2 linked regions of the Danio rerio genome follow. The protein of the gene in region 1 interacts with the protein of each later gene in a pairwise test. Links are inferred from orthologs where the notes say so. Each region holds a gene or a part of one and is shown on either strand. Other genes may lie near its edges. The genes, in order: tsen54 and clp1.

Region 1 (4,345 bases):
AGTCACGGTGGATGTTAATAAAGTACAATTTAATGGGTAATTTAATAAATTATTTGAATAATTGTGGTTATAATCACTGTTTTTACATTACTGTGAGGATTGGGGTAGGAGTAGACATCAATAAAATACAATTTAATGGGTAATTTAATAAAAAATATCATAAATTCTGGTTATAATTACTGTTTTTACATTACTGTGAGGGTATTATTATGGTTAGAGTCACGGTGGATGTTAATAAAGTACAATTTAATGGGTAATTTAATAAATAATTTGAATTATACTCTGTATAATTACTGTTTTTACATTACTGTGAGGATTGGGGTAGGACATTAATACAATTCAATGGGTAATTTAATAAATAATATTAATAATCCTCGTTATAAGTACTGTATTTATCTTACTGAACAGGTATTTTTTATGGTTGGGGTCACAGTGTACCTTAATAAAATACCATTTAATTAGTAAATTATTAAATAATATAAATAACTCTGGTTGTAAGTACTATTTTACATTACTGTGATGGTATTTAATGGTTTGGGGTCATGGTGAATGTTAATAAAATACAATTTAATGGATATTTAAATTAATATTATAAATAATTATCATTATAATTACTGATTTAACATTACTGTGAGGGTATTTATACAATTAATGAGTAATTTCATAAATAATAGAAATGTTTATTGTTAACTTTCGGCCTTTGCTCTCCTCTAGTGGTGAAGACGCGCAGTCGCATTTGTGTATAGTGGATTTTTATTATAATTAATGTTATTTGTTATTATTATTTTAGTTACTTAAAAGAAATAAAAAATATATATATATTTGAATCAATACAGGAATAGGAATACAAGTTGGATAATAACCTGAGTTGTACGTAGGATAACAAAACAACAAACAAAAACGATATATAATGAAACAAATAAGTAGCAATAAAAGAAAGAGGAAGTAGAGTTAATTTAATAGTAATAAAAAGCGATAATTAACTTGGTGAAAGAAGAATGAGGTTTGGTTGGAAACCTCCAATTGATTGAACCACCAAACATTTAATGGGTCAATTTCAGTTAAGAAGTGAGCACAAAAGGAGGATAACTTGGGAAATTATTGTTTATTAATTAAATTTTGAAAATATAATAAACAAAAATTATATATAAATATATATATATATATATATATATATATATATATATATATATATATATATATATATATATATATATATATATATATATTCTTCGTTTTTATTTTTGGGAGTGTGTACCAAGTGTGTACAGTGACTCTTTGCGCACTAGGACCCGGAAGATACGCACACCGGACGGGGGGCGGCAGTAAACATGGCAGACGCAGACGCTTCAGCGGATGCTGGAAATAAACAAAGTGTTTATCACGAGCTGCTCAGGTAACTGACACAATTAACTTATTTAGATCAAGCGTGTAGGTCTTCGTGTGTTGATTTGATCGATTTATTAGTAGTAGCGCAGTCATATAAATCCTCTGTTAGCCATATAGCACGGGAAACACGCCGCGAGTCCACCAAACTCAAGGATCATCACATCCTCGTCACGTGACTCAAAGTGGAAGCAGACTTTTATTTGTGATCCTGAATATTATTGTGAAGATCAACTCGGTTTTGTTTCTGCGTAATTTGTGTCGTTCAGTTTATGTTGATCAAACAAAAACATTAAATATCCTTTGATAGGTTTTAAAATATGTGTACAACAACATGGATGCCCAAACTTTTCCTATGAAGGGCCAAAATCCAAATATCGTTGAAAATAAATATCCCAAACTATGTTACATTAAAGTTGCCATGCGTAATTTTCTAATTCATTTAATAATATTTATAAATAGATATAAGCATTAATTTGAATCGTATTAACTAATGCAGTATAATTGTAATTATTGCAATAAGACGATCACATTTACAACAGTGTAGTTCTAGTCAAGAATCTGCCTTTGCCTTGATTCGCTCTCTGCATTGTCCTCTATCTGTCGCGTAACAGTATGTACATTTAACCTAAATCTCATTAACTTAAACCATTTCAATTAAAATATTTAATTTCAGTTAGGCTTTTTGTAGCTTAACAATAAAACAAACCGTTAAAGTTTACATAAAATTTGAAATGACAATCTCTAAACCAGGGGTCAGCCATCTCGGTTGTGAAGGACCTGCGTCCCTGCAGGGTTTAGGGTTCAAAATTAATATTGTAAATAATTATCATTATAATTACTGCTTTTACATTACTGTGAGGGTATTATTATGGGTAGAGTCACGGTGGATGTTAATAAAATACAATTTAATGAGTAATTTAATAAATAATATGAATATTACTCTGTATAATCACTGTTTTTACATTACTGTGAGGATTGGGGTAGGAGTAGACATTAATACAATACAATGGGTAATTTAATAAATAATATTAGTAATTCTCATTATAAATACTGTTTTTATCTTACTGAACAGGTATTTTTTATGGTTGGGGTCACGGTGTACCTTAACAGTATGTATATTTAAGCTAAATCTCATTAACTTAAACCATTTCAATTAAAACATTTAATTTCAGTTAGGTTTTTTGTAGCCTAACAATAAAACAAACCATTAAAGTTTACATAAAATTTGAAATGACAATCTCTAAACCAGGGGTCACCAATCTCGGTTGTGAAGGACCTGCGTCCCTGCAGGGTTTAGCTCCAACTTGCCTCAACACACCTGCCTGGATGTTTTTAGTATACCTAGTAATACCTTGATTAGCTTGTTTAGGTGGATTTGATTAGGGTTAGAGCTATAATCTGCAGGACACCGGCCCTCCAGGAACAAGTTTGGTGACCCGTGCTCTAAACCATCCCCATCATTTTCCCTCTTTTCTAAGATGGGCCAAATTAAAGGTCACCATGGGCCAACTTTGGGCATCTTCTGGTATACAACAATCAACTAAAAATAATTCAGACAACTCGTAGCATGATAATATTTACATTACTATTAAAAGTATTAACTATTAATGCACTTCTGCAGTACATATAAATAAATGACATCTGAATAATTTTTGGTGTGATTGTAAGTAGGCATGGGCCGGTATACGTTTGTGAGTCTCATAACCTTGGATAAAAAGCATCATGGTATGAAGGTATTGTGGTTACAGCTCTATAATAAGTTTTTTTTAAATGTCTCAGTTAAAAAAACAACATTTTTGTCCCCATTGAGCACATTATACAGTATTTTATTTGACATTTTTTCAATTTACAATTCACATTTACACTATGGGTCTGAGAAAAGCGTATTATAAATAATATGTATTAATATTATTTTTTTATTATTATTAATAAATCATTGACTTCTGCTATCTTTATTAGAAAAAAAAAAACACAGATTTCTTTAAAACACATTAAAAACACTTAAAAAAACCTTTACACATACCTTAGGAACGGTTTTGCGGTTTTAAAACCTTGACTTTTTTTCTTTGAGAAACCGGTGATCATCCCGTGTCTAATTATAAGACGTAAACAAAGCAAAATTCAATAAGTTGTACTTTTTTGTTGTTGTCAGCAGAGGTGAGTAGAGTTTGCAAAATCTATACTCAAGTAAAAGTAACTTAATCTTAAAAGTTACTCGAAGATGACGTCGCTTACATCTGATTGTATGTTTTCTTGCGCAGCTGGATGTTGAACTCAGGAAAAATAATGCTTTGTTTTGGACAAAACTGATTAGATAAAGTCACACCTGAGGATTCTGCTTGGTCTTAAAGCCTTTTTCAATGGATTGATTTCACTATTTATGATGGCATAGCACTTACAATAAGACAAATGAGCTCATGTATGGGACAAATTCTGGACCTTTATTATTGAGGGGTGAGTCTTTCCAACCACCCGAGCCCCTCACTGGCTATGGCCCTGACTAGTTACCATTAATAAGGTTCAAATTGGGATAACATAACATTGACACTTACCACTAACGTTACTTTTTTCAGGTTGAGCTGGAATTCATGTATACATTTTTGATGTCAGTTCAATGTAGAACGTGCATCGCATTGTCAATATATTCTTGTTGACATTTTGAAGTGAAAACAGACTGAACTTGAGGTCGGGTGACCTGGTCCGGTAAACTCACTGCACAGACAGCATGACCGTCCTTCTCGGAACCGCAGATGGCCATGGCGTGACCGCAGTATAAACTCGCCAACACAATCTCACGGCATTTCGTAACTTTTTGATTTAGTGGCTAATTCGTATGAATTCTTATGATCTAATTCGTACAATTTAGTACGATTTGCTCATCCCCCAATGACGTTTGAGTTTAGGGGTGGGGTTAGGTCCCACACCGCCTTTTTAAAATCGTACAATTTCGTACGAC
Region 2 (4,401 bases), on another chromosome or scaffold:
CAACATGGTTTGACAATAAAGTAGTCTAACAAATAAATATTTGTTATAAATGTACCTTCATTAGTCAACATTTGGTGTAGGGAATAAAAAGTTAATCAAAAATGTCCTAAGACACAATGGTAATGTTATGGTTGTTACATAACTGTATTTATTATTATTCTGTATGTTTAAACCCAGCAGAATATACTATATATTTAACATGTCATAAGCGTACAGTTATTCAAACATTTGCTTAATAAAAATGTCCTAAGACAAGAATGGGTTTTGTTTTGGTTTTATGTCAAACTACTGTAAGTTTAGTTATCTATATCATAATATTGAAAGTCAGAGTTATTTTAATGACAAAAATCAATTAAAATGTCTCTTACTCAAGTACTTCAAGCATGCAAAAGTCAAATTAAAGTATGTAAAATACATTTTCCAATAACAAAACTTTGTCTTGTGAAAATGACCTGTGGGTGGTGAGGAAAAAAGTTAATGTCTAGTTATATATATATAAAAGAAGTTGAACAAGTTGTCATGATATTTAGTCATAATGCACTTTCTATACATTTATATTAGACTTTTTTCTACATCTATAATTGGTAAATTGCTCCCAGGTCAATCTTGACTTTGTCTAATAAAGGTGAGGTGTATCAGAAGGGAGATTGTCCTATGTTCACATTTCTACTTTTGTTTTTTTCTTTGTCCTGTGTAGTGCTGTATTTTCCTTTCTGTAACACAATGACATGATCTGGCAACAAATTACTGTACAAACAGCAAATAAATAAATAAATTAGCCACAGTTTACATCAGAACACCCCTCCAGAGTACACTGTTATACTGACAACATGACTAGGCCCACACAGAATCTACGTGCGCAGAATTCTGTTTATTTGCTTGTGTAAATGTATGTAAATCCATATTTACTCAGTTTTTTAATTATTTACAATAATATTATTGACTAATTTGAAAATTTTCGTATGAATGATTTACAATACAGTTTGTAAAGTTATATTTTCTGTCTTTTAGTAGAGATATTATATAAAAGACTTGCTTTGTTTACCAAATAAAGAGGATCTAATTGGACTTGCATTGTAAGCATTAAATAAAAGTTTAAAAGGTATTACTTTTTATTTAATAAAATAAGGTTTTAGTTATGATACTTCCAAAATAATAAATAAATCCGCAGATCTTTGACACAATTCTGTGCAGAAAAAATGTCCAGACTCCCTTCAGCTCTTCGGTTTCAGATTGCTCCCTTGTTTCAGAGATTTACTGTGGGTTATGGATAAAATACAGCATTTCAGTGATTTTTTTGCTGTAATAACTAGTCAGATGTCATCATAACCACACTTTAATGATGTACTAAAAAATTATATCTATGCAACCTAAAGAAGAAAACAGAAGAAGAGAAGATCTTGCCCGTTCATTGGTCAGCAGTAACATGACGACGTCTACAAGCGACACGACGTCATCACGATGGCGTGGTTTGACAGTCGCACCGCGCTGATGTGAGGAAAGTGCTGATTATTTGTAAATACAAAGGAACTTTAAATAGTGCTTAGTGTCACGGTACATTAGTTGATAGTACACGCTAAGTCATATGACCGTCGGTTTATTCAGCGGGCTAACGTTAATCGTAAGAAGCTAACAATTCAGTAATTTATCGGCTTGAAATAAAACAGTATTTCCCAGGATATATCGCCGATCGGACGACTTCACACAGGTACAATACAATAATTGCTGCTTTGTCTTTGTTTAAAGCACATACATTGCGCTAGCAAGTGAATATGGTCAAAAAAAACATGTCTGTGTCTAACGTTACATCACATTATATTTAGCTAAAATGCTAAAATGGCTACTTCAATATTTTAATAGACTTGAGTGAAAATAAAATGTCTAAATATGGTAATATATGGTATATAATGTACAACCGCCTTTTCAGAGTTCATAAGTTAGTAATTCTGTCCTATAACGTTTTTTTTTTAAAAAAAATATTTATAAAACAATATTGATCCTTTTTTGGAGTAAAGAAAAGTGTTTTGTGTTTTAATGTGTCATCAAACGTTTCGTCTTCAAAATGTCTGACAATATTGTCGCTATATATACATATACACATACACTACCTGACAAAAAGTTATGTTGCCAAAAGTTTTAGGAACAGCACATAATAATTTGACTTCTAGTTGATCATTTGGTATCAGAAGTGGCTTATATGAAGGGCAAAGGCCTTTAAATTACGCTTATTTTACCAAAATAAAATATGATCATGCCTTGATTTATAACTATTTCATTAATGCAGTAAGGTTTGACTTTGCTTAGACATGAGTCTTATCACTGAACAGAAATAATGTCCAGTATAGAATATAAAGTCCTGCTGCAGTGGAGACAGAATGAATATTGTGTCTGACTCCATCATGAGCTTGGAGGACTGCATCCATACATCTCTGCAATGACTCAAATCAAGTTCCTGCAGTACTCCCAGAGTTCATCAAGATCCTTTGCATTTATCTTCAATGCCTCTTGCTCTATCTTACCTCAGACATGCTCAATAATGTTCATGTCTGGTGATCGGGCTGGCCAATCCAGGAGCACCTTGACCATCTTTGCTTTCAGAAGCTTTGATGTGGAGGCTGAAGTATGAGGAGCGCTATCCTGCTGGAGAATTGTCCCTCTCCTGTGGTTTGTAATGTAATGGGCAGCACAAATGTCTTGATACCTCAGGCTGCTGATGTTCCCATCCACTCTGCAGATCTCTCGCACGCCCCCATACTGAATGTAACCCCAAACCATGATTTCTCCTTCACCAAACTTGATTGATTTCTATGAGAACCTTAGGTTCATGTGGGCTCCAGTAGGTCTTCAGCAGTATTTGTGATGATTAAGATGCAGTTCAACAAATAATTCATTGGAATAATCTACCTTCTGCCACTTTTCCAAATGATCAACTAGAATATATATATATATAACCAGGCAATAAAAAATTGTAATGAAGTCAATTTTTTCAAATATTAACATGGAAAATATAAAATTCTTTTTATTAATCTGTTTATAGACTGCTTTCATTGTGACTCCAGTCATACTAAAACTTCTATAGCTATTAAAATAGCCTAGTTACTATTCCCCCACCCTGTATATAAGATTGTTACACTGAATAGCATTTTAGTGGTTGTCCTAAATGAAGTTTCACAAACTAATTTCGAGAGGAGCATGTGATATGATTGACTGCAGCTGGCCACTCATCTACACTCATTAGCTAGCCAATCAGATTGATCCAAACTCACTATAAGTAACCTAGCTAACTAGCTAAGAACTACTCCCTTATCTTCGTTTCCCGAAGAAACCCCCCATCCACCCCTTCTCCTCCTTTCCTCTTTTGCCTAGGGGAGCTCTCGAGAACTCCTGATCTCGTACTCCCCTCACATGCTCAATGGACCTGGCGGGAGCCCTGGGCTCAACTATCTCCGAGCTCAGGGTTCTCTCCCGGGACAGCACGCCAAACCTGCTAACTTGCTAACAAGTTGTCGAACAGTATCTAAGTGTGAACTCTTGAAATAAATTGAATATATCAAATTGCAGTATTCATATGACAGAGAGGTGCAATAATTTGCATTTATTTTATGTGACAAGAATTTGTGTGTTGCATGCATTTGGTTAATTGTCCAAATTTGACCAATTGGATGGGGCTTTACACTTTATACCTGTGTCCCCAGTAGGTGCTGTTTTGATGTTGGCTAGACCGTCCCAAAGGGGAACTAAAAATACACTAATGGCAGGAGTCGAGACGATAGAAAATTCATTCATAGTGATTTAAAGTCAAAATTTTTACTCTATGACGTTGTTGTTCTTTGTTGAATAAATTAGATTTAATTAGATCAGAAAAATCTATTGCCTATTTATTTTTGTAAGTTTAAAAATCTATCTGGAGGTTTTATATCACAAGAAATATAATTATTGCAATACTTAAAAACAGTGCTTAGTATTGTGCAGCACTACTGTCTTCTATCATATGAAAAAATATATAAACAAGACACATCGTTCTATGCATGTTGGAATAAATATATAAATTCCATCTATTTTGATGCTTGAAAACCCTTTCCATCTTTTTATTTAATTTTTTATTAAGCAGAAATTTGAATAAAAGTAAGTACATGACGTGAAATTTATAGCATAATTTGCTGGTTTTAAACATACAGAATAATTCATAATGGATTGCAGTTATGTAAACAATCCTTTTCATCTCTGATAATTCTCCTTCACAGTCATGACGGCAGAAGCTGCAGAAAAGTCTGTGGAGGAGGGCCTGAGCTCGTCGGGCAGCGCTGGTTCTTCAGGCACCAGATTCGACCTGGATAAAGAGACAGAACTGCGCTTTGAGGTGGAAGCAGGAGAACGAGTCCAGCTGGAGCTGCTGTCTGG

Evidence for each region.
Region 2: the proteins of tsen54 (region 1) and clp1 interact in binary tests that used the Homo sapiens proteins (3 or more experiments, as listed by UniProt). The link is inferred for Danio rerio from reciprocal best matches to the Homo sapiens genes TSEN54 and CLP1.

Annotation. Positions count from the first base shown.
Region 1 is NC_133178.1:65,630,861-65,635,205, forward strand, and holds the start of tsen54 (tRNA-splicing endonuclease subunit Sen54), read left to right. Parts: upstream 1-1,303; 5' UTR 1,304-1,331; coding exon 1,332-1,396; intron 1,397-4,345.
Region 2 is NC_133189.1:53,766,839-53,771,239, forward strand, and holds the start of clp1 (polyribonucleotide 5'-hydroxyl-kinase Clp1), read left to right. Parts: upstream 1-1,442; 5' UTR 1,443-1,708; intron 1,709-4,244; 5' UTR 4,245-4,246; coding exon 4,247-4,401. UniProt on the Homo sapiens protein: Polynucleotide kinase that can phosphorylate the 5'-hydroxyl groups of double-stranded RNA (dsRNA), single-stranded RNA (ssRNA), double-stranded DNA (dsDNA) and double-stranded DNA:RNA hybrids. dsRNA is phosphorylated more efficiently than dsDNA, and the RNA component of a DNA:RNA hybrid is phosphorylated more efficiently than the DNA component.